Linked DNA regions of Macaca mulatta. The protein of the gene in region 1 interacts with the protein of each later gene in a pairwise test. Links are inferred from orthologs where the notes say so. Each region holds a gene or a part of one and is shown in the gene's direction. Other genes may lie near its edges.

The links.
Region 2: the proteins of CCDC102B (region 1) and NIF3L1 interact in binary tests that used the Homo sapiens proteins (3 or more experiments, as listed by UniProt). The two-hybrid records come from large-scale screens. The link is inferred for Macaca mulatta from reciprocal best matches to the Homo sapiens genes CCDC102B and NIF3L1.
Region 3: the proteins of CCDC102B (region 1) and CCDC33 interact in a two-hybrid assay, tested with the Homo sapiens proteins (2 studies listed by BioGRID). The two-hybrid records come from large-scale screens. The link is inferred for Macaca mulatta from reciprocal best matches to the Homo sapiens genes CCDC102B and CCDC33.
Region 4: the proteins of CCDC102B (region 1) and PNMA5 interact in binary tests that used the Homo sapiens proteins (3 or more experiments, as listed by UniProt). The two-hybrid records come from large-scale screens. The link is inferred for Macaca mulatta from reciprocal best matches to the Homo sapiens genes CCDC102B and PNMA5.
Region 5: the proteins of CCDC102B (region 1) and FAM161A interact in binary tests that used the Homo sapiens proteins (3 or more experiments, as listed by UniProt). The two-hybrid records come from large-scale screens. The link is inferred for Macaca mulatta from reciprocal best matches to the Homo sapiens genes CCDC102B and FAM161A.
Region 6: the proteins of CCDC102B (region 1) and POP5 interact in binary tests that used the Homo sapiens proteins (3 or more experiments, as listed by UniProt). The two-hybrid records come from large-scale screens. The link is inferred for Macaca mulatta from reciprocal best matches to the Homo sapiens genes CCDC102B and POP5.
Region 7: the proteins of CCDC102B (region 1) and EHHADH interact in binary tests that used the Homo sapiens proteins (3 or more experiments, as listed by UniProt). The two-hybrid records come from large-scale screens. The link is inferred for Macaca mulatta from reciprocal best matches to the Homo sapiens genes CCDC102B and EHHADH.

The regions. Positions count from the first base shown.
Region 1 is NC_133423.1:11,770,362-11,773,861, reverse strand, and holds part of CCDC102B (coiled-coil domain-containing protein 102B), read left to right. Parts: intron 1-3,136; coding exon 3,137-3,346; intron 3,347-3,500. UniProt on the Homo sapiens protein: During interphase, forms fibers at the proximal ends of centrioles to maintain centrosome cohesion. During mitosis, dissociates from the centrosome following phosphorylation to allow centrosome separation. Contributes to CROCC/rootletin filament formation.
Region 2 is NC_133417.1:105,994,551-105,998,657, forward strand, and holds the start of NIF3L1 (NIF3-like protein 1), read left to right. Parts: upstream 1-1,307; 5' UTR 1,308-1,334; coding exon 1,335-1,770; intron 1,771-2,635; coding exon 2,636-2,798; intron 2,799-4,107. UniProt on the Homo sapiens protein: May function as a transcriptional corepressor through its interaction with COPS2, negatively regulating the expression of genes involved in neuronal differentiation.
Region 3 is NC_133412.1:52,149,774-52,153,797, forward strand, and holds the start of CCDC33 (coiled-coil domain-containing protein 33), read left to right. Parts: upstream 1-1,224; 5' UTR 1,225-1,609; coding exon 1,610-1,630; intron 1,631-4,024.
Region 4 is NC_133426.1:159,265,446-159,269,400, reverse strand, and holds the start of PNMA5 (paraneoplastic antigen-like protein 5), read left to right. Parts: upstream 1-1,155; 5' UTR 1,156-1,286; exon of another isoform or gene 1,287-1,386; 5' UTR 1,387-1,448; exon of another isoform or gene 1,449-1,462; intron 1,463-1,642; 5' UTR 1,643-1,764; coding exon 1,765-3,111; 3' UTR 3,112-3,955.
Region 5 is NC_133418.1:62,893,282-62,896,781, forward strand, and holds part of FAM161A (protein FAM161A), read left to right. Parts: intron 1-2,699; coding exon 2,700-2,938; intron 2,939-3,500. UniProt on the Homo sapiens protein: Involved in ciliogenesis.
Region 6 is NC_133416.1:127,903,018-127,906,980, reverse strand, and holds POP5 (ribonuclease P/MRP protein subunit POP5), read left to right. Parts: upstream 1-1,163; 5' UTR 1,164-1,183; coding exon 1,184-1,203; intron 1,204-1,288; coding exon 1,289-1,431; coding exon of another isoform or gene 1,432-1,550; intron 1,551-2,613; coding exon 2,614-2,763; intron 2,764-2,888; coding exon of another isoform or gene 2,889-2,934; coding exon 2,935-3,018; intron 3,019-3,116; coding exon 3,117-3,211; 3' UTR 3,212-3,483; downstream 3,484-3,963. UniProt on the Homo sapiens protein: Component of ribonuclease P, a protein complex that generates mature tRNA molecules by cleaving their 5'-ends. Also a component of the MRP ribonuclease complex, which cleaves pre-rRNA sequences.
Region 7 is NC_133407.1:97,376,196-97,379,695, reverse strand, and holds part of EHHADH (peroxisomal bifunctional enzyme), read left to right. Parts: intron 1-2,511; coding exon 2,512-2,616; intron 2,617-3,500. UniProt on the Homo sapiens protein: Peroxisomal trifunctional enzyme possessing 2-enoyl-CoA hydratase, 3-hydroxyacyl-CoA dehydrogenase, and delta 3, delta 2-enoyl-CoA isomerase activities. Catalyzes two of the four reactions of the long chain fatty acids peroxisomal beta-oxidation pathway.

The DNA.
Region 1 (3,500 bases):
ACTAATGGTTAAAATTCACAGTTGAGTAAGAATTAAAATATTTTAGGAGTTTCTCTTCATCATCAGAAGCAAAGCAATGGAATTCTATTTCCATTTGATAAAATTATTGTAATTTTTTATGGTAAACTCTGAGAGCTTAAAATATTACTTGATTTTTTATTTATCATTTTAAGGTACATGCAATTAAATGCTTTTTAAATTAGTGGATTTTCATATGATTCTTGGAAAAGAATAATGTGATAAGAAACAGTTTTACAAAATAACTAAAACTACTAATAATTTTTATAAGATTTTTAATTTTTAATATATGTTATATGCATATATTTATCAAATAATTTGTATGTTTTGATAAATCTGTAAATAGTAAAACATCAGAAGGCATTATTTAAGCTTTGTTGTTGCTACTGCTAAAATCATTACTTAAAAAAAATCTTAAGAGTTAAAATTTGTTCATTCAGACCATGTATTACTTATTTAAAACCTTGGTTCTACTTGTTATCTGTTATTTAGTGTTAAATCAATTTATTTAATTTTAACATTTAAAAGAATCCTACAAGTTTGCAAAGACTTGACACAGCATATTTGTCCTAGCCCAAAAATACATTTGCTCTCCTTATATTAATTTTTCATTACTAAGTTGCTGCCTTTTTGTGGCAACTTTATTATTTTTATTCTGACAAGTGAGGCAATGATAGAAACTGTAAGTATTAATCTTAACAATGAAAGTAATGTAATGTACTAAATTAAATTGTGATATAATATTTTCACCTCATATTCCCAAACAAGCATCCCAAATGTCAAACTACATCATCTAAAATTTGACCCTTAGTTTATTATACATAATAGGTAAATGTGCCAAGAATGTAATTTTGGTTTCCTACATTTTAGAAGCCAGAGCATCTCTTAGATTTGGGAACAGAACATTTTCTACAATAATGGTACAATTATATATATATGAAAAAGCAGTTTTTAGGCTTTTATATCATAATTTATTATGATATTATAAAGGATATTTTTGAAATGTAACATTTTTCTAAATGTTGACTAAGTTGATGGGTTTTTAGAATTTAACATGTCATAGCAACAGATTTTATAACAGTATGATAATTATAAAGTATGCTGCAATCAAGCCATTATAATTAACAATGTAAAAACAAGTAATTTAGAATGTTTATCCTTTTGAGATATTTTTAAAATGCCTCATACTTTAATCATCCTAAATAGTTTGCAAGGAATTTTGAGTAGTTGACCCTCTTCTGTCCATACAATACCACAAATGTGGCATTTGTGGTATTGTATTTATGGTATTATATGTATGGTACCATACTAATTTTACTAGTAAGAAAACTTAATAAGACAATAAATGTCCAGAATTAGACAGTGAGTAAGTGGTGGAACCAGGATGAGATTCTAATAGATTTTCTACTGTAAAGAGTTACTCTGTTGTATAGATATATGCAATAAATTACATTGATGTCCATATGCCCAAATATATGAGAGAAATATACATTTTTTAAAAAAATTTATATTACCACAGTGTTGCTCCTTTAAGTATTACATTGCTAGACAAAGTGCTTTCTAATTACCTTGATTAATTTCACTTCTCACAAACCTCATCAGATTAGATAAATTGTCCACATTGGGGTAGATGAAGTTACCTGACTAAGCTTATCCAGAAGATAAATCGTGAAGTCAGATTAGAATGCATAGCTCAGGACTATAATTTACAGCAAAAAAAAAAAGCTACTATTCACTTCTACTTACAATGTCCACAAAAAAAAAATTATAGCAGATGAATATAATTGCACCTCATCATAATGAGCACTTAGATGTAATAAAATTGCAGAAAATAAATACATTTGATACTGCCTCTTTAAAACATAAAAACACTAAAATAATAAAAAGCAAAGGAGATGTTAAAATTATCTTAAATCGGAATTTCTAAAGTAGGCTTCTGGTCATTGATGGTTATAAAAATCTCCTCATGTTGCTATACCATGCAGCCTTGGTTGAGAACCATGGGAAGAGGGCAGAGGTAGACAAAACTTTAGTGTAAAGGACCACAAAGTAACTATTTAGGGCTTTACTACCTATATGGTCTCTCTCTCAACAGTTTAACTTAGCCTTTGTGTGTGAAGGCAGTTATAGGCAAAGTGCGAAGCACGGCTGTGTCCCAATAAGATTTTCTTTGTAGTATTGTTTCAATTTTATATAATTTTACATTGAAAATATTTTAATGTAAAATTTTAAAATACAAAATTATAAAGTATATATATGTATTTCAATATAAAATTAAATTACTTTTCTTTCTTCGTTTTTTTTTTTTTTTTTTTGAGACGGAGTCTCACTCTGTCGCCCAGGCTGGGCGTGATCTCGGCTCACTGCAAGCTCCAGCTCCCAGGTTCCCGCCATTCTCCTGCCTCAGCCTCCCAAGTAGCTGGGACTACAGGCGCCCACCACCACGCCTGGCTAATTTTTTGTATTTTTAGTAGAGACGAGGTTTCACCGTGTTAGCCAGGATGGTCTTGATCTCCTGACCTCGTGATCCGCCCGCTTGGGCCTCCCAAAGTGCTGGGATCACAGGCGTGAGCCACCGCGCCTGGCCAAAATGAAATTACCTTTTGCATTACCTTTTGGCAACTGCGAATGTTGCATAGATAGATGGATGGATGGATAGATAGATAGACAGACAGATAGATAGAAAGATAGATATATAGCATTTATCTATTCCCTAGATAAATGAGTGAATGAATAAGTGGAATATATCCAATCAAAATTGCCCACAAAATGGTTTTGTGTCTTCTCCACTGAGAATGTTCATCAGTTGAGAGTGGAGATTAATGTGTTCCCAAGAGCAGCAGTTTTTCACTTGACACATGTATTTGAAAAATATGGTCCATATGGCTGTAGAGATAGTTATGTGAACCAAGAGGAAAAGTCTATTTATCTACGGTTTGGCCTGATCTTCAGACTTTTGTATTTTTCTCATGTTTTCAAACAAATAGAATTTTCTTTTTAAAATTATATCAATGGACATATCCATGAACCTTTCTTAATGGGAGTCTGTTTGTCGGTGGCGTTACCTTTTGGCAGTTGCAAATGCTGCATGCTGCTTTTTTGTGTTTTCTGTGTGTAGCTAGAGAGATTGCAAGCTGAAAACAGCTCGGAATGGGACAAGAGGGAAATACTTGAAACAGAAAAGCAGGGACTGGAGAGAGAAAATAGAAGGTTGAAGATCCAGGTGAAAGAAATGGAAGAGCTCTTGGATAAGAAAATTAGATTAAGTGCAAACTCTCCAAGTCCTGATTTCAAGACGTCACAAATTGACCTGCAAGAGAAAAACCAGGTATGGGTGCTCCTTGGAGCAAATTCTCACTGTCTAATCTCACCCTCATGCCTATGCCGAGTCTGTCTTCACTGGTACATGCCTCCACATTTGGCTATTTCCTTTTGTGCTAGCTAACACCTGATACCCCTTGCTCTTCTGCCCACTAGGATGT
Region 2 (4,107 bases), on another chromosome or scaffold:
ATGGGGTTGACAGCATTATCTTTTGTGGTTATTTGATTAAACATTTACTAATTGTGCATATTTTGGAGCCAGCAGTTTTTTTCTACCTTTCCATTGCCCTCCCACCTTTCCTCTTTTGCCAACCTTTTCAGTTCCTTGTTGGATGTAGATATTTAGAAGGCTTACAGGCTACATGGGAAAAGTACCCTATACCTTAACCTCTTCCACCTCTTGAGCCTGGCCTTTGTGTAGCAAATGTTGCTTAAGGGGCAGTGGCTTCTCCCTTCTTCTGCCTTGACCCTGCCCATTTGTAGAGTGACCTGCCTATGTATTCCTTGATTTTTGATTCTGATAAAGCACTTGACATTTTAAACATTCTTTTTTTTTTGAGACGGAGTCTCACTCTGTTGCCCAGGCCATAGTACTGTGGCACGATCTTGGCTCACTGCAACCTCCACCTCCCCGGTTCAAGCGATTCTCCTGCCTCAGCCTCCCAAGTAGCTGGTACTACAGGTGCACGCCACCATGCCCAGCTAATTTTTGTATTTTTAGTAGAGACGGGGTTTCACCATGTTGGCCAGGATGGTCTTTATCTCTTGATCTCGTGATCCTCCTGCCTCGGCCTCCCAAAGTGCTGGGATTACAGGCGCCCCGCCACATTATTCTGTTTTTTGGTAAAGCACATTGTAATGTCAGTATATACCACCCCAACTCCAAATTCTGTTGCAGTCAGGGGAGGTGAGCAGTGTCATTCTATGCAGTAAGCAGTTAGTGCTGGCTTATATTAGCGATACTGAGATTTATTAAAGATAGTTCCTATTCCATAGTAGCTTTAGCATAATGGGCACACTCAATAATGAGAATACTGAGGGGTTGGGAGCCTTGGGAAGGATGCTGAAAAGGGAGGTCAAGAAAAGTTTTATTTAAGAAGTTGAAGGGGGTTTGGGAAAAGGAAGGATAATATTTAGAGAAATGGATTAGGGAGGAGGTTGGTTGAAGCAAGGGTAGGGAGAATAAGAACAAGGGTGTGTGAGGCAGGAGATGGGATGGACGTTTGTGTATTATGTACCAGACTTTGCTAGGTTACATAATTCATTTGCTCCTCTGGATGGCCTGTGAGGTGGGCTATAGTATCTCCATTTCGTAGGTGAGAAAACAAGATTGGAGAGGTTAAATGGTTTACCTAAGTTACTATGTGCTGGTAAGTGGCAGAGCCACTATTTGAACCCAGATCTCTATGATGACAGTTCTTTTGCCCATATGCTTTGATGCCTCAAAGATCCAGGCCTAAAGTGTACCTGTGTACCATTTTCTTTGTTTTGACTTCAGAAACTTGAACTTTACCTGATTTCTGTATGTTGTCATCTTGTGTACGCCCGGTCCCCACGACAGTCCGGTTTGTAGATTCTCTGATCTGCAGTTCTTCCCGTTCCTTCATGGATTTGAAGGCTCTCCTTTCTTCCTTGAATGACTTTGCATCCCTCTCCTTTGCTGAGAGTTGGGACAATGTTGGATTACTGGTGGAACCAAGCCCACCACATACTGTAAATACGCTCTTCCTGACCAATGACCTGACTGAGGAAGTGATGGAGGAGGGGCTGCAAAAGAAGGCAGACCTCATTCTCTCCTACCATCCGCCTATCTTCCGACCCATGAAGCGCATAACCTGGAACACCTGGAAGGAGCGCCTGGTGATCCAGGCTCTGGAGAACAGAGTCGGTATCTACTCTCCTCACACAGCCTATGATGCCGCACCCCAGGGCGTCAACAACTGGTTGGCTAAAGGGCTTGGTGAGAAGCTTCTTTCATATTTGATATTTTCCCTGCAAATACTTTGAAACCTTAGAATGTCTGTCCAGTAAAGTTTTAACTGCTTTAGGGTTGGGGAGGGTATGATTCCATTTTTGTATAATAAATTTAAAATAATGTTGCTGAAATTTGGCAGTTAAATTGCATTTGAAAAAGGAAACATTTTTTATTCTTACGGAGTTAGGAGAGCAGAAGTCTTCCTTACTGGGCTGAACTTCGTGATCCCTCACTTTTGTGGCACAATGCCTGTCACCCAGGCACTTGAAAAATGCTTGTTGAATTGAAAGCTCAGGTCTCTCCAGAATACACTTGATTGATAAATCAGGCAAATAGACATCTGGGTTTTAGTGAATGTTTTTAGTGAATGTTTACTTATGCCTAGGGAATGATGTATGGATTTTAGCTTTACTTTAGTAAGTCTTTTGTTTACTCATTTTGGGCTGAAGCTTTTATTATGATATCTGGATTAATGTGGTCAAATAAAGTATGAGCATTTGCAACCTGAATGATGGTTTACATGGGTAGATTTACCAAACAGTAGACCATTCTGTGTATTATCTGAAAATGTATGAATCAGTCTTTCTTGTCCAAGTTTTTCAGAGATTTAAGAATCTTTTGGAAAATAATTCTGAAATAATTTGATTTTGTACATCCATACCAAAGCCCTAGGGGACTGGTGATGTATATCTAAAGGATATATGTATGTGTGTGTATGTCATATAAGCATGAGAATGAATCTTTTAAAAAAGTCATTTCTTAGAAATTTTGCCTATAATAGTTTATCTTACTTTTAAATGTTAACCTCTAACCCCCCAAAACTCCCATTTTCCCACAATATTTTCTCTAGGAGCTTGTACCTCCAGGCCCATACATCCTTCCAAAGCTCCCAACTACCCTACAGAGGGAAACCACCGAGTAGAATTCAACGTTAGCCACACCCAAGCCCTGGACAAAGTCATGTCTGCAGTGAAAGGAATTGGTGATGTTTCTGTCACTTCTTTTTCTGCTAGGTACAATTTATTTTTCTCTTTTTTGTGTGTGTATTTATTTGTAAGCATCTTCCTTACAAAGTCTGTAACCCTGGTATTTAGGCTTGAAACAAATAATTTTCTCTAGAGTTGGTTTACAAAGCAGCATACTCCTCATTTGTCTGTGGGTCCTGGAGACCTATGGAATTTTTTCAAAACAATAAAAACAACAAGTAACACTTATTAAGTATTTTCTATGTCAGGGGACTATACTATGCATTTTATATACAGTATTTCTAATCCTGTTGATGTTCAAAGATAGTTGTTTTCACTTTAGAGAACACAGATAGATCCTAGTGATGTGGTGATGAGGCTTTTATTGGTTCCCAGCAAATCAGTGATTTCCAAGCACTTTCTTTGTTTTTTATATTTATCTTTACATTTTAAATATATATTTTCATAAATCAGTTTTTTAATTTAACATCATGGGAAATACTTTTCTGAATAATCTTTGTTTGTTTGTTTTAAGAGACTCCCAGGCTGGGCGCAGTGGCTCACACCTATAATCCCAGCACTTTGGGAGGCCAAGGCTGGTGGATCACCTGAGGTCAGGAGTTCGAGACCAGCCTGACCAACATGGAGAAACCCCGTCTCTACTAAAAATACAAAATTAGCTGGGTTTGGTGGCGCATGCCTGTAATCCCAGCTACTCGGGAGGCTGAGGCAGGCGAATCACTTGAACCCAGGAGGCGGAGGTTGCAGCGAGCCGAGATCGCTCCATTGCACTCCAGCCTGGGCAACAAGAGTGAGACTCCATCTCAAAAAAAAAAAAAAAAAAAAAGCGATTCCCATGCTGGAGTGCAGTGGTATGATCGTAGCTTGCCATGGCTTTAAGCTGCTGGTCTCAAGCAGTCTTCCCACCTCAGCCTCTTAATTAGCTGGGACTATAGCTGCCAAGCACTTCAAGTGAAAAATACATTAAGTGCCTCTTTATAAGGTCAATCATTATTTAGGGCAGAGATAGGAGTTTTTTTGGTTTGTTTATTATTTATTATTATTTTTGAGACGAAGTCTAGGTCTGTCACCCAGGTTGGAGTGCAGTGGCACAATCTTGGCTCACTGCAACCTCCGCCTCCCTGGTTCAAGCGCCCGCCACCATGCCTGGCTAATTTTTTTTTGTATTTTTGGTAGAGATGGGGTTTCATCATGTTGGGTGGGTTGGTCTTGAACTCCTGACCTCGTGATCTGCCTGCCTCAGCCTCCCAAAGTGCTGGGATTATAGGCGTGAGCCATGGTGCCCAGCTGTTTTTTTATTTTTTATTTTTGAGAGACAAGGTCTCACTTCGTCACC
Region 3 (4,024 bases), on another chromosome or scaffold:
CAGGCCATTCCTGGTCAGGCCCCCAGTCCCAGAGCCCCAGCGGTACCACTCTTGGCAGGCCTAGACGGGGAGAAAATTAGGAGTGGGGTTCCCGACTTCCATCTCCCACCAGTGTCTGGGTGGTCTTGGCTGGTCCTTTCAGTTCTAATCAAAGACAAAGCCTCAGTTTTTCTGTCTCTAACCTGGGGAGAACCACATCCTCGCTGCTGCTCTTTCTGGAGGGGGGGTAGAGAGGGAGGCTGGGAGGCCTCTGCAAAGCAGGAGTCTTCTGCCTCCTGGCTGCCAGGCTGGTCCTGCTCTTCGGCCAGATTAAAAGAATCTCCAACATGGGGCCCAAAATAGGTAGAAATGAGGCAGGCCACAGGGGCCTCCCAAACACCTCTGACCACCACCCAGCACCCCAGATCCCTCCTCTTCTAGCCCAGGATTTCTGATGATCCTTCAAAGCCCAGTTCAGACCTCACCTCTCTATAGAACAACTCCCCACCCCAGGCCAACGACTAGCCTCTCCTCATTCTGCCATCTCACCTCACCAAAAGCACTTAGAACCCTGCCTGGTGTGCTGCAAATGCTCCACTAAAAGACATACTTTGTCTTCGTAATAATTTCTTGCAGCACTCAGAACTGAACCACAATCTTTGGTTCATACTCTAGTGCCATCACTGGCCCATCATGGCTTTCTTTAGTTGTTTAATTCTAATTTATTTTCAATAATATAATGAACTCCCATTAACTGACCACCCAATCTAAAAACCCAAAGGTTTAGAATGTATGCTCTTACCCTCTTCTCTCCCCCATCTTCCCACCCACCCTCCCAGAAGAAACCATCCTCTTGAAGTTTGTGTTTATTATTATCAAATAAATGGAAGACTATAGGTACCCAAAGAGGCACGATGGCTGGTAGATTCTTCAACAGAAGTAGCTGTTTTACCGATCAAGCTGCCACGCTCTTGAGAGCAGTGTCTGGCTTCCTCTTTTGCTGCAGTGTGAGCGGCATGGGGCTGGCCATGCCACAGGGTCGGTGGAGACTATGTGAGGCACCAAGAACAGGAAGGGTGAGGCCTGAGTGCCAGGCGGCAGGTGGAACACAGCTCCAGGAATAGGGAAAAGAGATTCGTGTTCTAGCTCACTGCACCTGGACAGGTGCCTGTGTGACTTTGGCCCTGCCCTGTGACATCACACAATGTTGCCCAGGTGACCCAGCTAGGTGGAAAAGCTCACTGCTTTTCCAGGCCTGGGCAGAGAGAGGGCTCTCCCATCTCTCCACCGTCCTGGGAGTGCCAAGAGTCAATCGCCTCGTTGCTGACCCTGTCCAACTGGCCATGGCCTGCAACCCCCTAGGCCCCTCCACCCATAGACCATCTTGCTGCTGAGAGATCGAGGACCTGCCCCCACCTGGCCACCCTCCCCCTTCCCCAACATCCAGACCCCAGGGCTGGTGTGTGGCACCCCTGAGACCACATTGACCTCCATACTGTCCACTAACCATAAGGACTCCAAGACGCCCAGGCCAACTGTCTGGGCAGGACTGATGCCTGATCACCCACTTATACCAGGTACTCGTCCCCAAGATTGTTAAACAAGGCCAGACACTCCTGGCCTCAAGAGGATGGGACTGAAAAACAAAAAGGTAAGGCCAGGGGAATGGGCCACACACCTGCATGAATCCATCCCTCCTTCAAAGTCTCTCCTTCAAAGTTTCATTTGTTCCTTAATCATGACAAAAGCTTCCCTTCTCTGGGCCTCAGTTTTCACAGCTGTGAAATGGGGAGTGAGGCGGTCTCTGTGGCTCTCCCAGGTTAGCTGCCCTATACTCTTGGGCCACGTGGGAACTGGAATGCAGTGTACTTGCGGGTGTTGTCAGTGCTGACCACCCTTACCTGCTTGTTTCTGCCCTCTTGTTGCTGGGGTCACACAGTCTGAGAGCCCACTGAGATGGTTCATTACCCCCATCCAATATCTCCCAGGATATTCCCAGGCTGCTACCTTGGCAGCCCTGATGCCCCCACTGCCCCCATGCTCTCCTAGCCCTGGCCCTGATTTTCTGGGGCCTAGGCCCCTGCCCTGGAACGCAGATGCTTGGGTCTCTGGAGAGAAGGGATTTTTGTGTGTTTTGTTCATCTCTGTATCCCCAGCACTCAGAACAGTGCCTGGCACATAGTGGGTGCTTAATAAAAAGCTGTGGCCTAGCAGCAGGGTTCTGCCAGGAAGGGACTAGAATCTTATTGCAATGAGATATAAACAGTTCAGTGCAAGGGACCCCTTACCTTCCTCTCACTAGCAAGGCAGAGCCCCTGCCCTAGATGGTGTTACCCACAGGGATACCAGAAGGAGCTGAGACCAAAGGCACATCGGTACTTGCAAACGGGGAATACCCTCTTTGTAGTTATACTCAGCTTGAATAAGCCAAATAGCTGGGGGTGCTCAGGCCTTAGTGTGATTTCCACTTTATTACCCTTGATTTTGATGTCTCTGGTTCCTGATGTTCTCTGCCCACAGCTGCCCCTGAACCTCCGCAGACTCCACCCTCCCCATTAAGACTCTTTCTGTAATGCCACACACTCAGGACCAGGCACCAGTTTGATCTGGCACCCTAAGCTGCCAGGTGGTCCCCACCTGCCCCACATAGCTGGGATTGGGGATCCAGGGAGTGTGCGTGGGAGTCCTGAGAAGGAGCCAAGGTTGCTTTGATTGGTAGCTTTGAGAAGCACTTTGATAGCTGGGTAGAATCGCCCATAAGGATGCTCATCATGGCCGGGGGGGTGGCTCACGCCTGTAATCCCAGCACTTTGCGAGGCTGAGGCAAGTTTAAGACCAGCCTGGTCAACATGGTGAAACCCCGTCTCTACTAAAAATACAAAAATTAGCTGGGTTTGGTGGGACACAGCTGTAATCCCAGTTACTCAGGAGGCTGAGGCAGGAGAATAGTTTGAACCTGGGACATGAAGGTTGCAGTGAGCCGAGATCGTTCCACTGCACTCCAGCCTAGGCAACAGAGTGAGATTCCGTCTCAAAAAAAAAAAAAAAATGATGTTGGCCAGGCACAGTGTCTCACTCCTGTAATCCCAGCACTTTGGGAGGCCAAGGCAGGAGTTTGAGACCAGCCTGGCCAACATGTTGAAACCCTGTCTCTACAAAGAGCGAAACTCCGTCTCAAAAGAAAAAAAAAAAAAAAAAAAGGATGCTCATCATGTATATAATATATATATTTGTGTTTCTTCTTTTGTGAATACCCAGTTCATGTTTTTTTAATTGGGTAATGCTTATAGGTTTCAGTGCTCTTTGTATACTACGGATATTAATCCTTTTTTAAATATATAGCAAACATTTTCTCCTTTTTTCCTTTTCTTTGTATTGCAGGGCATTTTGGATCATTACAGAAGTTTGTATAGATTTTTTAAATGTAATCAAACCTATCCTTTTTTAATGATTTCTGACTTTTGTGTCATCTTTGGGAATGCTTCTCTGCTCCAAAGAACACAATTCCTCTTGCTGCCACCAATGGATACTCAGGTTATGAGTTCAACGGGGTATCCACTGTGGAGCAGAGAAGGGACCCACATCCAAGGAAGCATGGTCAGAGCACAGCAGAGACAGCAAGAGCGTGGGGTCAGACGGACCCTGCTTCCAGTTCCAGCCCCGGCCCCACTAGCTAAGCCGTGTGCTTTCACGCAAGAGGTTTACTTTCTCTGAGTGTGCTTCCTCACCTGAAAAAGAGCTTTCCCCTGACCACCGTAACTCCCAGGCAAGTTTAGATGCCAAAGCTAGAAGGAACATGGGGAACCATTTTTAACTGAAAGTCCTTGTGAAACTGCTGGGAAATAGCCCCACTGCAGTCAAATAACTCGCCTAAATGACAGATCCGGGCAGTCAGGCACCCTGCCTCGCAGCCCAGCCCCTCTCCAGCTGGTGTGACTTTTCAGATGCAGGGTCCTTCTGGAGGGCAGAACCGGGCTCAGCTCCTCAGGCCTCCCAGACTGCTGGAGGAGAGGGGTGGCAAGGGAGGCGTGGGTGGAAGAGTTTG
Region 4 (3,955 bases), on another chromosome or scaffold:
TGGGGACATCAGTTAGACTTGCATGGAGGTAGGAGTTGGACTTGGTGAGGGGGCAGGGCTTGGGGTAGGAGTTGGACTGTGGGTGAGGGCAGGGCTTGAGGCGGGAGTTAGACTTGGGTGGTGGAAGGAGTTGGACTTGGTGGGGGGCTAGGCTTGGGGTAGAGGTGCAACTTAGTTGTAGGCAGAGTTTGGCAGCAGGCGTGCAAGTTTTGAGGTGGGGCTTAGGAAGGGGTGCAACATGGCTGCAGGGGTGGGGCTTGGGAGGGAATGAAGTTTGCAGTGGGGGTGGGGCCGCAACCTTACCTTAGGATCCCTTCTGCCCTAGCAGCAGCCCCCCCGCCCCCCACCTCCCTCCTCACCTCCCACCCCTCTCGCCATTCTTCCCCCCACTCCTCCTTCCCCCCCACCCCTCCCCCCTTTCCCCCCTCCTCTTCCCTCTGCCAGTTGTGCAGTTTCTTCTACCCCTGCACCAGGGTCCTAGTGGACACCTATGCAGAATCTGAATTGGCATGGCCTGAGCAGGGACATGTGTGTGGGACAGAATCACAGCAAAATACCTGTGCTTTGCCTTGGACAGATCCAGGGAAGCAGGAACCATCACGCCTGAGTCAGGAACTGCCTAATTGGATAGAGTTGAAGAGCAGAGCGACTCTGAAGTGACTGTGTTATTGCAGCATCTGCGCTGCCAGCAGGGCCAACCCAGAAAGGTGAGCAGCTGTGAGGTGGGCCCTGTTGGGAGGGTCTCTGGAACCCCTGCAAAGAGTGTGGAGAGGGGACTGCCTGCCAGCGTTCACAGACTCTGCAGGGTAGGGCCATCTCTAGGGCAAGAGTTGTTGGTTTCCTGCAGTCTGGCAGTGGGGACCTCATCAGGGTCCCTTTTCTACCTGATTTCAGCTTCCACACAATTGAAACCATGAGCTCCTGTCCTTTCAGCACTCACTCCTCAAGCCCACCTCGCCTTCCCTCTCCCACCCTCCTTTTTGCTGGGAAGCTTTATTGGTTGGAGGCCAATGACATCACCTGTTGCTTCTCAAGGACCTTAGCCTTACCACATGACACTCCCCTGCAATAGCAACCCATGGTCCATGGTATTCTCTGTATCCATGGCAACACTGCAGCTTGTCACACAATCTCCACACCCACCACTCTCATTGCATTGCGCAGAGCTCGGCCATCTTTCTCATCTGTCAGGCGTTCCTGAGAAAGAGGGCCATTCTACCTCTCCTGCTGCCAGCCTTCACTCCAGCAAGGAGGGTGCTGGGTGACCTGAGCCCACATAGCCCTGAGTGAGCAGTGAGGCCGTCTCCTGCCCTCTTCTGCCTGGAGAGCTTGTCAGTGTCCCCAGATGTCAGGCCCTGCCTCCTGACTTTGGCCTTTTCACTACAGATACCCGAAGCACACACAGCAGAGTCCTCTGGACTTCGAGGAGGAACCCACAGCAGGAGGAGGTCAGCAGGGAGTGGTGAGATGAGGAGATCTTTGCCTGGGGAGAACCTCCACCCTCTACCCTCCCCAAAATAACTTGGGGAACCCTGGGAAGAAGGGACTCCATCCCTGCTCGGGGGTGGGGGCAGAGGAGGGGTGCTTGGGGGTATAGGTTGGGGTAGGCATTAACAATGCTCTCATCCCATTTGCTTTGCAGGCTGTGGAAACCTGGGACCACTTCTACCTTCCTACGTGGCAGTGGCTCAGAGTTATTTGAGTGCTGTCAAACTAAGCTGATTGCTGCCCTAGTATTAGATCAGTCCATAGAAAGTGGGAGCAATGGCATTGACACTGCTAGAGGATTGGTGCAAGGGGATGGACATGGACCCCAGAAAGGCCCTGCTGATCATAGGCATCCCCGTGGAGTGTAGTGAGGTGGAAATTCAGGACACTGTGCAGGCAGGCTTACAGCCCCTGCGCGCATACAGGGTGCTAGGGAGAATGTTCAGGAGGGAAGACAACGCCAAGGCAGTCTTCATTGAATTGGCTGACACTGTCGATTACACTACTCTGCCTAGTCACATACCAGGAAAGGGGGGCTCCTGGGAAGTGGTGGTAAAACCCCGTAACCCAGATGACGAGTTTCTCATTAGACTGAACTACTTCCTGAAAGATGAGGGCCGAAGTATGACAGATGTGGCCAGAGCCCTGGGATGTTGCAGCCTCCCTGCCGAGAGCCTGGATGCAGAGGTCGTACCCCAAGTTAGACCCCCACCTTTAGAGCCTCTGAAAGAAAGTATGTGGTACCGGAAACTGAAAGTGTTTTCGGGAACTGCTTCCGCTAGCCCAGGTGAAGAGACCTTTGAAGACTGGCTGGAGCAGGTCACTGAGATAATGCCCATATGGCAAGTGTCTGAGATGGAGAAGAGACGGCGTCTGCTGGAGAGCTTACGAGGGCCTGCTCTGTCAATCATGCGGGTGCTCCAGGCCAACAATGACTCCATAACTGTGGAGCAGTGCCTTGACGCCTTAAAGCAGATCTTTGGGGATAAAGAGGACTTCAGAGCCTCTCAGTTTAAGTTTCTGCAGACCTTTCCGAAGATTGGAGAGAAAGTCTCCACTTTCCTGCTGCGCTTAGAGCCCCTGCTGCAGAAAGCAGTGCAGAAGAGCCCCTTGTCAGTGCGCAGCGCAGACATGATTCGTCTGAAACATCTCTTAGCTCGGGTCTCCATGACCCCCGCCCTCAGAGGCAAGCTGGAGCTCTTGGATCAGCGAGGGTGTCCTCCCAATTTTCTGGAGTTAATGAAGCTTATTCGAGATGAAGAAGAGTGGGAGAACACTGAGGCAGTGATGAAGAATAAGGAGAAGCCATCAGGGAGAGGCCGGGGGGCCTCTGGTAGACAGGCAAGAGCAGAAGCCAGTGCCTCTGCACCTCAGGCCACCGTGCAGGCAAGGTCTTTGAGCGACAGCAGCACCCAGACTGTACAGGGAGGCTTACCCCCATTAGTGAAACGCAGGCGGCTGTCGTGCAGTGAAAGCACTAGGGAAGAAGACTATGGCCAGGCCATGTATCCCAAGGCTGAAAACCAGACTCCAGGCAGGGAGGGGCCACAGGCTGCAGGAGAGGAGTCGGGAAACGAGGCAGGGGCTGGGGCCATGAGCCATCCCAAGCCCTGGGAAACATAGGCTCAGAAGACCCAAGCACTCCTTCCCCTGGCAGGCAGCAGGGACATTTGAACAAAGGGCAGCTTACACTAACAGGGAACTTGATTGGGGCAGAGGGACAGGGAAGCCAGGTCAAGATCAAGCCCCTTTACTTTCCACCAGCTGGAAGGGACTTCACCAACCTAGACCAAATAGCATCTGGTTCAGTGGGGGCCAGGCCCATGGCCCCTAACAGGTATAGGAGACACAAGCAGGGAACAGCTACACTTAGCACAGGGGGTGGCTGGGCTTCAGATGGGGACCCCAACAAAGCAGGGGCTGAAGACGGTGTGGCTGGGGGCTCTGGCCTGGTCATCTGGACACCCCCAAATATCCACCCTGTGAACTTTGAGCTGAGAATGCCCACTGGCACCCAGGCCATGTGGGACCTGGAGGAGCCTGCCTGGGGCCTGCCTCTGCCAGAAGGAGCCAGGGCTGCTGAGGAAGAGCTGTGGGGGAGAAGTGAAGCCCGGCAGGGGAGGCTGCAGGGTCCAGCCCGTCTTTAGGATCATTTACACTGCATGAGGGGAGCCCCAGGAAGGCAGCATTCATGACCCCCTGCACCAGTGAGGAAGAGAAAGAGGAGGAGAATTAAGAAGAGGATGATCAGGAGGAGGAATAGGAGAATAAGGAGGGGCAGGAAGAAAAGGAGGAGGAAGAGGGGGAGGAGAAGGAGGAAGAGGGGAAGGAGGAGGAAGAAGTGTGAGAAGAGAGGACTTGTTGGGGGTGGGTAGTTGTTTTTGGTTTGCGTCATCACCAGGCCCAGGCTCTGCTCACTGCTGTTCCGTGTCAAGAACTCCACCTCTGCTTTGCCGGTGTAGATCTC
Region 5 (3,500 bases), on another chromosome or scaffold:
GGTAGAGTTTTGTTTGTTTGTTTGTTTGTTTTAAGTGAGACGGAGTCTTGCTCTGTCACCTAAACTGGAGTGCTATGGTACGATCTTGGCTCACTGCAACCTCCACCTCCTGGGTTCAAGTGACTCTCCTGCCTCTGCCTCCTGAGTAGCTGGGACTACAGGCACGTGCCACCATGCCCGGCTAATTTTTGTATTTTTAGTAGAGACAAGTTTCACCATGTTGGCCAGGCTGGTCTCAAACTCCTGACCTCAAGTGATCTGGCTGCCTCGGCCTCCCAAAGTGCTGGGATTGTAGGTGTCAGCCACTGCACCTGGCCTCAAAGGTAGAGTTTAAAAAAAACTGACATACCTTTTAGCAGCTAGCTGATTGCAAGATAGCCCCCAAATATTTAATGAATGAGGAAATTCACAAAGTAGTCATCCTACAGGTAAGAAGTTTATGGTGAGAAGCACATACAGAAACAGCAGAAGATATCAGAGAATTCTCTTAATTGAATTGTTTGACATACTTAAAGCAGTTCTGATTCATAGAGTTGTTAGTAGCAAATTTCTACATATAAGTTCTATTGAAGACTGATTTTTTTTTTTTTTTGGAGACAGAGTCTTGCTCTGTTGCCCCAGGCTGGAGTGCAGTGGCACGATCTTGGCTCACTGCAAGCTCTGCCTCCCGGGTTCACGCCATTCTCCTGCCTCAGCCTCCCGAGTAACTGGGACTAGAGGCGCCCGCCACCATGCCCAGCTGATTTTTTGTATTTTTAGTGGAGATGAGGTTTTCCCGTGTTAGCCGGGATGGTCTCCATCTCCTGACCTCATGAACCACCTGCCTCGGCCTCCCAAAGTGCTGGGATTACAGGCATGAGCTACCGCGCCTGGCCCCTGAAGACTGATTTTTTAAAACTTGTTTTCTCTAAGTTACCCCAAATAGTACAACATTGTCCTCTTATACACTGATTTTAGCCCATTAAAAAAACACCATATCTTCTGAGAAGCCTCCAATGGGAAACAAAAACACCACATCTATAACTACTATTTATAATTGACTCTTCTGAATTTTTCTTTTGAGAGAAGCTAAACAGATTTATTTTCTAGAGTCTTATCAGATTGGATCTATAATTTTCTGTAGCAAATTTTTTCATTTTGCGTCTGTTCCAGACAGTAGACTAAATTTAAAACCGTGGTTGGCAGTCTTTTATGCATAGTATCATAAATAATTTCAACTGTTTCTCAACTGAAAACATAATAAAAATTGTATATTTATAGAGAAAATGGGGTTTTATCTCTTTAGTTGCTTCAATTAAAAGAACTGAAAGGGTAGGGCACAGTGACTCACACCTGTAATCCCAGCACTTTGAGAGGCTGAGGGGAGTGGATCACCTGAGGTCAGGAGTCCGAGACCAGCCTGGCTAACATGGTGAAACCCCATCTCTACTAAAATACAAAAATTAGCTGGGTGTGGTGGTGGGCACCTGTAATCCCAGCTACTCGGGAGACTGAGGCAGGAGAAGGCAGAGGTTGCAGTGAGCCGAGATCACACCACTGCACTCCAGTCTGGGTGACAGAGTGAGACTCTGTCTCAGAAAAAAAAAAAAAAAAAAAAAAAAAAAAAAAAAAAACCTGAAAGGTATGTAAAGGGAGTGAGGGAGAAAGGCCAGTCAGACCCTTCTAAACATGATCTGTGTGTTGAATAATTACACCATTTTTTCTTCTCTGCTTTGTTGTCATCCCAAAGTCCCTGTCACCCATGGGAGCTACTGCTTTTGTGCCCAGGAGCAGCTGCCCTGAAAATCCCTCCTACCCCCTCCCATGTCCTCTTACTCCCTCCCAAGGTCTTGCCCCACTGTGAGGAGGGCTTCTCCCTGGCTCCTTGATAAGCCACTGAGAACTTTGTCCCCGCCTCCATTCCCTCTATTTCCCTGCCTTCTCTCACTGGCAGTCCTTGGAGGCACACTTCAGAAGCGCAGCTGAAGGGAGAGCATTGGGCTGTGGTTGCCTGGTTTGCAGCAGGAAGAACTGTGTTCCTCTTCATCTCAGTTAAGACTTACAACTCAAGCCGGGCGCGGTGGCTCACGCCTGTAATCCCAGCACTTTGGGAGGCTGAGGCGGGTGAATCACGAGGTCAGGAAATCGAGACCAACCTGGCTAACACAGTGAAACCCCGTCTCTACTAAAAATACACAAAATTAGCCAGGTGCGGTGGCGGGCGCCTGTAGTCCCAGCTACTCGGGAGGCTGAGGCAGGAGAATGGTGTGAACCGTGGAGGCGGAGCTTGCAGTGAGCCATGATGGCGCCACTGCACTCCAGCCTGAGCGACAGAGCGAGACTCTGTCTCAAAAAAACAAAACAAAACAAAAAAAAACTTACAACTCAGGAGGCTCCTTATAGAAATACTTTGTAAACAATTGTTGGGTTCTATCCTGTTATACCTTTTGTTGGTTGATCTGGGAATCTAACCATCCTTTATCAAATGGATTAAATAACATTTATTTTCTGACAGTTTGGTCTCGCTCCCTCTTGTTCTTAAAATATCACTGGGGAAAATGTACACACAAATAACCTGTAACTCATTCTATATGCATAACCCATAATTAACGTATAACCTAACTAGGTGGACTCTTTAGGAAGCAGCATTTTGGATCAGTGTCAGCTTAATTTGTCTTTCAGCTCCAGTCACCATATAACAGGTGTTTTCTCCCCACCAGGCTGATTTGAACACCAGCTTTTCTGGGGTGGATGAACATGTACCAATAAGCTCTGAGGACTTTGTGAACTTTCCTGGTATTCACCACTCTAATGAGGAGTATTTCAAGAAAGTAGAAGAGTTGAAGGCTGCCCACCTAGAAACTATGGCAAAATTAGAGAAAATGTACCAGGATAAATTACATTTAAAGGAAGTTCAGCCAGTGGTCATCAGGGAAGCCTCTCTTAGTGACGGTTCCAGGTAAGCTTGTAACTCAAAGTTATTTGTGGAGTATAAAATAAAATGTATCCTTAAAAGGACAGAACATAGTTATTTCAGAATATTTTCTCTTAAGTAGCCCTTTGTACTCTTAATGATATACAGAGGTAGGATTTTCTTCAAAATGTTTAATGGCTTATCAGCTTACTAGATGACTTTTGCTTGAGGGTCATTTGGTGGCCATTTGGTCTTTTCTCTCTGATCCACCCATAGAACTGAGGGCATGTATCAAAATACTTAGTCTGGGCCATTTTAAATGGTAAACATAAAAGTTTAACTTTAAAAGCTCTTTATAATATGTGGATTAACATGAGCTCATTAAAGATCTAGTACAAAGAGTTCAGAACTAGGAGACATGTATCTGATTTATGTTTTCAAAATAGTCTGCAATTTCAAGACCCATTTCTGCTGTGAATTCACCTGCTCTGAGACTTACACATCTAGTCAGTCAGCGATGCTTGCATGTCTCCTGTATGCCAGACTATACCTGGGCACTGAGGAGTCAAAAACAAGATGCCCTCAAGGAGCTTAGAGACTAGCTGAG
Region 6 (3,963 bases), on another chromosome or scaffold:
AAAAAAGAATATGTATTTTATGTAATACCACATAAGACTTTTTTAAAAAAATACTTAAAAAGAAAATAAAAGAAAAAACATAATTTAACAGAGGGCATAGTTCTCAAACTGTTTTCTCTGTCTCAGGACCCCTTTACACACGTTACTGAGGATCCCCAAGAGCTTTTAGTTTTGTGGGTTATATTTACTATGGACATTAAAGTTGAGAAATGTTTAAAAAAAATACACAATTCCATTAGCTGTTAGAGCAGTGATATCATCACGTCAAGCAGCCTCTGGAAAACTTGACTGTTCACTCTGAGAGAATGAAAAAGACAAGTAACATCTTAGTATTATTATGAAAGTAATTTTGGCTTCGGGGACTCCTAAACCGAGTGAGTTTAGGAAATCTCAGGGGTCCCCAGACGACACTTTGAGAACCGCTGGCCCAGGGGGAAAATGACAGAAGAAAACACACTACACGACAACAGTTATTCTCTCTCAGTGCTGGGATTATAATTTATTTGCTTCTTTGTGCTTTTCTGTTAAAAAAAAAAAAATAAAAAGGAAAGGAAAACAGAAATGGAAAATACAATGACCACGTATTGTTTCTGCGAACAAAAAATGAGACAGCACACTCGCCTCCCTAAGATTTTTGAAAGGCCCAAACAGCAATAGCACATTTAGCTGCATGGAAGAATTAAACTGAGCTCAAACCTGAAAATAAGAGTCCGATTTCCCGTTTGTCAATCCCTGGGCTGTGAAGTGCAGGGTCTTGCCCTCAAAAACTCCACGGTTCACCTTGGGGAGAGAATGTACTCGCATACATACCTGTGCTGCAAGGTTCCCAGGGCCCCAAGGGCAGCGGTTGCATCCTACACAGTATTGTAAACTCCGGTGTGCAGCAAAACCACCCATCGCAGCTGCAAGCCGCTCCAAACCGCTCCCAGCCGCTCCAAGCCGAAGTTCAGCCCTCAAACTAGTCAGAGACCCTCCGCAGGACGCATGCGCGCTTACAAACGCAGAGTTAGGTGGGGCTTGAGGGAGACTGACACAGAGTTCGGCCTCTCAACTTTCTAGCTCCGCCCGCATGTCCTGTCTCCTTCTCTGAATGGCTGAAAGGCTGCGGAAGTAAGCTTCCCACGGGCCGCGGACGGAACCCACATCCGGTTTGCACAGCGATCCCGACGGCGCGGAGGCAGCTATGGTGCGGTTCAAGCACAGGTAAGCATTCCCTTCCAGACCCACCCAGCGCCTTGCCAGGTCCCCGCGGCGCCGCTAGCGCCCACCTTCCTCTCGCCTGCCGCAGGTACCTGCTCTGCGAATTGGTGTCTGACGACCCCCGCTGCCGCCTAAGCCTCGATGACCGAGTTCTGAGCAGCCTCGTACGGGACACTATCGCCAGGGTGCACGGGACTTTCGGCGCAGCCGCCTGCTCCATCGGCTTCGCGGGTGCGAGAGCGTTGGGGGAAGAGGGGAACCCGGGAGGATGGCGGGACGTGGAGGGGGCAGGCGCCGGAGGAAGAAAGAAGGGGCACGAGTGGCCAAGCCCGTGCATCGTTTTTTGTAAGGTATCTCTTTAAGCGCCGGGGACCGCAAGCGAGAGATCCACACGAGTCCGAAATTAGCAGAGAGCTAAAAGGAGGGGCCCGAAGGCAGTGGGTCTTTGAGCTAGAGGCCTCTTTTTGCCTGCTTGACAGGTAATTTCTGTAATTGGTTGTGATTGAATTTGATAGGATAGAGAATTAAATGAGGGAAGCTGTATCTAGTTCCTAGTAAGAGCTATTATGACCGATTACATTAACATCACATGGAAAAAAATTGTCGAAAGTATCCTTGGGAATGCCCTTAGTTGGTAAAGTACAGAACACATGATCGTCAATATATGTGAATACAGGATGAGCCGGGACAAAGAGGGGCCCGGGGCCCTTCTTCCACACCATTTATATTAGTTCCCCCTTTTACCTTGCTTGAGGATTGACTTCTGGAGAGTTAAATGCAGATAGGCTTAACTCATCCTTAAGTCAGGTGAGACTCAGCTGACTGCTACAAGAATTACAGAGCCCAACTGCAGTAAAACAGCCTATTTTTCAGGCGAGGGTTTTTCCTAAATTAAAATGGATCGCCCTCCTACCTGCTCCTATTTATTGAATTAACTAGTGAATTAGAAAGCATGTTAGATTCTAAATTCATTCACCAGTTCTGAGTGGTGTGCAACACAGTGGGTGTTTTGGCTTTTCTCTTTTACTCGCTGAAAGATCCTACGTGCCACTTGTGCTCTGTTACTCTAAAGTTTTTTTGTTTTTTTTTTTTTTTTTGAGACAGTCTTCTGTTGCCCAGGCTGCTGGAGTGCAGCAGGGAGATCACAGGTCACTGCTGCCCCCACCTCCTGGGTTCAGGCGATTCTCATGACTCAGTCTCCTGAGTGGCTGGAATTACATGCGTGCACCACCACGCCCGGCTAATTTTTGTATTTTTAGTAGAGACGGGTTTTCATCATGTTGGCCAGGCTGGCCTCGAACTCCTGACGTAAAGTGATCTGCCCGCCTCAGCCTCCCAAAGTGCTGGGATTACAGGTGTGAGCCACCACACACAGCAAAATTTTCCGAAATGATTTTTTTTTCCCTGTTGTAGTTCGATACCTCAATGCCTATACTGGAATAGTGCTACTTCGATGCAGAAAAGAGTTCTATCAGCTTGTGTGGTCAGCTCTTCCCTTCATCACATACCTGGAGAACAAAGGACACCGTTACCCATGCTTTTTCAACACGTTACATGTGGGAGGTAGGAGTGACGTGATACGGCTACTGATTTTCAATAGGTGACATGTTCAGAGTTCAGTCTAGACTGGTGGGTGGGTCTTCCTGCTGTCCCGCTAACAAGACACTTCCCCTACCTCTGAAAGTAAGGTCGAGACCTTTCACAAGCTGTTGACCGCAGTAACTCACATGCCAGGTACAATAAGAACATGTCAGAAGTTCCTAATTCAGTACAACAGGAGACAGCTGTTGATCTTGTTGCAGAACTGCACTGATGAAGGTAAGCAATACTAGCCCAGTGCCCGCTGAGCAGTGACTGACCTCGAGCTGAAGAAATCACTCCCAAAGACATCTTTCATCCCTATCTGCCTTCTCCAGGAGAGCGGGAAGCTATCCAGAAGTCTGTGACAAGAAGCTGCTTACTAGAGGAGGAGGAAGAGTCAGGTGAGGAGGCTGCAGAAGCAATGGAGTGACCCTCTGCTCACCACACAGCAGGCTACACTGCTCAGGCTTCGGGCCCACTTGTTGAACAGAACAATCTGGGTAGCAACAGCATCTTCTACAGTTTTCCAAGCTGGATAGCTGCCAACCAGCGGACATGTTACCCACTTGAAATAGAGTACTCAGTTAAACTGAAGTTGCCTTTACCTAGCATTCCCTGGTTAAGTGTTGCAGGTTGTGAACTCTATGTAGACATCTTTATTGCTTGGCTAAGAGTAGATTTAATAAATGTATTTGGTTTCCGTGGCATTTAGTATACTTATGTTACAAAAAGGGCTTATGGAGTCCATGCTTGGCTAAGTCTCTGTTCTCTATCCCTAGCCTTGGTGGGAAGAGTGACTCCCTGTGTGGTACTAAACTTTTTTATTGAGACAGTCTCACTCTGTCACCCAGGCTGGAGTGTACTGGCCCAATCTCGGCTCACTGCAACCTCCACCTCCCGGGTTCAAGCAATTCTCCCACCTCAGCCTTCCAAGTAGCTGGGATTACAGACGTGCACCACCACACCTGGCTAATTTTTGTATTTTTAGTAGAGACAGGGTTTTGCCATGTTGGCCAGGCTGCTGTTGAACTCCTGGCCTCAAGTGATTGGCCTGCCTTGGCCTCCCAAAGTGCTGGGATTAAAGGCGTGAGCCACTGTGCCTGGCCTAAATTTTCAATACTTAGCCTTCTACCTGAAGCTGTGTACCCCCGGCCCCAAGATGGGCCCTAAGCAAGACAAGTC
Region 7 (3,500 bases), on another chromosome or scaffold:
TACACTTACGGTGTCATAAGAAAAAACAAATTTAAATTACAGCCTAAGAATCTGGATTGGATATACAGAGCCATGTCTTTAGATCCTTAGTTCTTCGAAACAGGATAAAAGTCCAGCTACGCATCATTTAACAACGAGATATATTCTGAGAAATGATCATTACATGAGTTTGTTGTTATGTGACCATCATGGTTTACTTACACAAACCTAGATGGTATAGCCTACTACACACCTAGGCTATATGGTGTAGCCTATTGTTCCTAGGCTACAAACCTATACAGCATGTTACTTTACTGAATACTGTAGACATTTGTAACATAATGGAAAGTCTTTGTGTATCTAAACACATCTAAACATAGAAGAGGTACAGTAAAAATATGATATTGTAATCATATGGGACCACCATCATATATGTGTTGTTGACAGAAATGTTATTATATGGTATATGACTGTACTTGGAATCCCATTGACTCTGTTAGAATAGTAGTGATACTCTTCCAATTTTGTGAAATCCAAGCCAGAAGAAATCATTACAGCTAAAGAAATTTGTAGTCCATCTGGGAGTAGCTCACATTCTCCCTGCTTAGTTGACCTCAAAATCCTTTTGTAATAGTATCCAGGTTTCCATGTTCCATTTTGTGTTTGCTTGGTTCCCTTAACCTGGGTAGGCTGTTCACCCTCTACTTACCAAAGTGATTTTATACACAGGATACTTGACCCTGGAAACTACTTATGTACTTCCTATCCTACTCCTTACTCCAGGAGGAGGTCTGAAAGCCTGTTTTCAGAAATACTTCCAGAAAACTGTCCAAATACTGCTTTTCAAAGAGACACCTACCAAAACAAAAAAAAAAATCACCGGACTTTCTATCCAATCAAGAAAACTCATTTGTAGTTCTCTGAAGCACTAATAAGAACCAGGAATGTAAGGTTTGTCTCCGATGGCATCCACCAACACTGTAAGTGCAGTGAAGACTGTGGAACTGTTGCCACCAAGACAGATTTGATGGTTGCTTTTCAGAAGGCAAGATGGTACTGGCAAGAAAGCAAGCGGTGTGTCACTATCTCCTTCCTTCTGACCCTGGGATAGGGGATGCTGATGTCCCCTACCTCTTACCTCAGAATATGCGGATCAAATTGCATATTTACAATGGGTGAAGAACTGTCAAGGCAAATTTAGGAACGGCGCAAACCTTCATCAAACTTCTATATCCCCTATTGCTGACATTCTGTACTGGAGGATGCCAATGGTATGACTGGATGCTAAGTGTACCAGCACCACCACTGCCAGACACTAGATGTTGGCAGCTGTAAAATGAGGTTTAACCTGTTGCTGCTGCTTAGTGTCACTAACTGCAAGCTAAAAACCCTCAACAGAGCACTCAGTTCACTAACTGGGGTCATGGGCCACACTCCAGCTGCCACAGTCAAATTGTCAATTGTCTAATCATCTGTGTCCTTTTCAGCTTCTGTAGTAGGAGGCAGGGCTTCAAAGCCTACACAATAGCCATTCCACAAACTAAGGGAAGAGTTGAGATGCTGGGTAGCCAAAAACTGGCAGAAGTCCATCCCATTTGTCCTATGTAATTTTAATTATACCTTATAGAATGTCAACTTATTTTTTTTTTCTCATTGAGCTAACTATATTTATGTCTGGGAACTATCTTTTTTTATTTTTTCTCTCTTTTTTATTGTTTTTATTTTTGTTTTTGTTTTTGGAGATGGAGTCTAGCTCTGTTGCCCAGGCTGGAGTGCAGTGGTGTGATCTCAGCCCACTGTAATCTCCACCTCCTGGGTTCAAGCGATTCTCCTGCCTTAGCCTCCTGAGTAGCTGGGATTACAGGTGCCCACCACCATGCCCAGCTAATTTTTGTATTTTTAGTAGAGACAGGGTTTCACCATGTTGGCCAGGCTGGTCTCGAACTCCTGACCTCAGTTGATCTGCCCACCTCAGCCTCCCAAAGTGCTGGGATTACAGGCATGAACCACCGTGCCTGGTCTTTCTTTTTTTTTTTTTTAAACCAACCACAGCCAGTGGTGTATGCTAGGGATAGGATAGATACTATATGTTACTCTGCTGCTACTACTTCTATTATTATTATCGAAAACTAAACATCTCACTTTTCTATAGAGTTCTATAGAGATTTGTAGTTCATAAAGTACTTCTGTAGAGAGTTATAGAATATAAAGAGAATCTATTATTCTCACTTAATACTCAGAATTACTGAGATAAGCATAATTATTGCCATTTGCTGATGAGGAAATGGTGGTCCTGGTGCAGTTCTTCATGATCACACAAATAGTGGAAACTAGAGCTGGAGCTTGAATCCAAGTTTCCTGGTTACCTTGGTGGTGATCTTTCTACTCTATCAGTCAATGTGGTTCTTACTTACCTTATTCAATAGTAGATATTTATATCCAGACAGACAGCCTTTCCTGCTAGAGAGAGTAATGCTTTTGCTTTAATCTTACATTGTTCTTTGATTGTTTTGTTGTTGTTGTTTATTTCAGGAAGACATATTTTAGCAGGTGAAGCACTCAAGCTGGGCATTCTAGATAAAGTTGTGAACTCAGACCCGGTTGAAGAAGCAATCAGATTTGCTCAGACAGTTTCAGGTAAGAAAATAATAAAAATAGCCAAAGACTATAAACAAGATACATGTTCATTTAAATAAGGAACTCCTAAATATTTTATGATACATCCATGTGATGAAATATGATACTGCTTAAAAATGAATGAGAAACTGTTTGTACTGATATGGTATGAAGCCCATGATACATTATTAAGTGAAAAAAGCATTATTGTATATAGTGGTTTGCCATTGGTATAACAAAAAGGAGGGGTGGGATAGAACATAGGGAAAATGTATATATCTAACTGTTGATGCATAAAACATTTCTGAAGAGATTCACAAGAAATGTTTAATGGCTGCCTCTGGGAAGAGGGCTGGTCAGCCAGCAGAAGCTACTGGAAGGAGACTCTTCACTGTTTACCTTGCTGTAGCTTTTTAAATTTTTTTATCACATGAATGTTTTTCCTATTAAAAAAGAGGGACTCCTCCATAACTCATTATATGAGGTCAGCATCATCCTGATACCAAAACCTGCCAGAGATACAACAAAAAAACAAAACTTCAGGCCAATATCCCTGATGAACATTAATGCAAAAATTCTCAACAAAATACTGGCAAACTAGGCCAGGCACAGTGGCTCACACCTGTAATCCCTTGGGAGGCCGAGGTGGGTGGATCACTTGAGTTCAGGAGTTCGAGACCAGCCTGGCCAACATGGTGAAACCCTGTCTCTACTAAAATACAAAAATTAGCTGGGCATGGTAGTGCACACCCTGTAATCCCAGGTACTTGGGAGACTGAGGCACGAGAATTGCTTGAACCCAAGAGGCAGAGATTGCAGTAAGCTGAGATTGTGCATCCAGCCTGGGTGACAGAGTGAGACTCCATCTCAATTAAAAATATATATATATATTTACTGGCAAAATG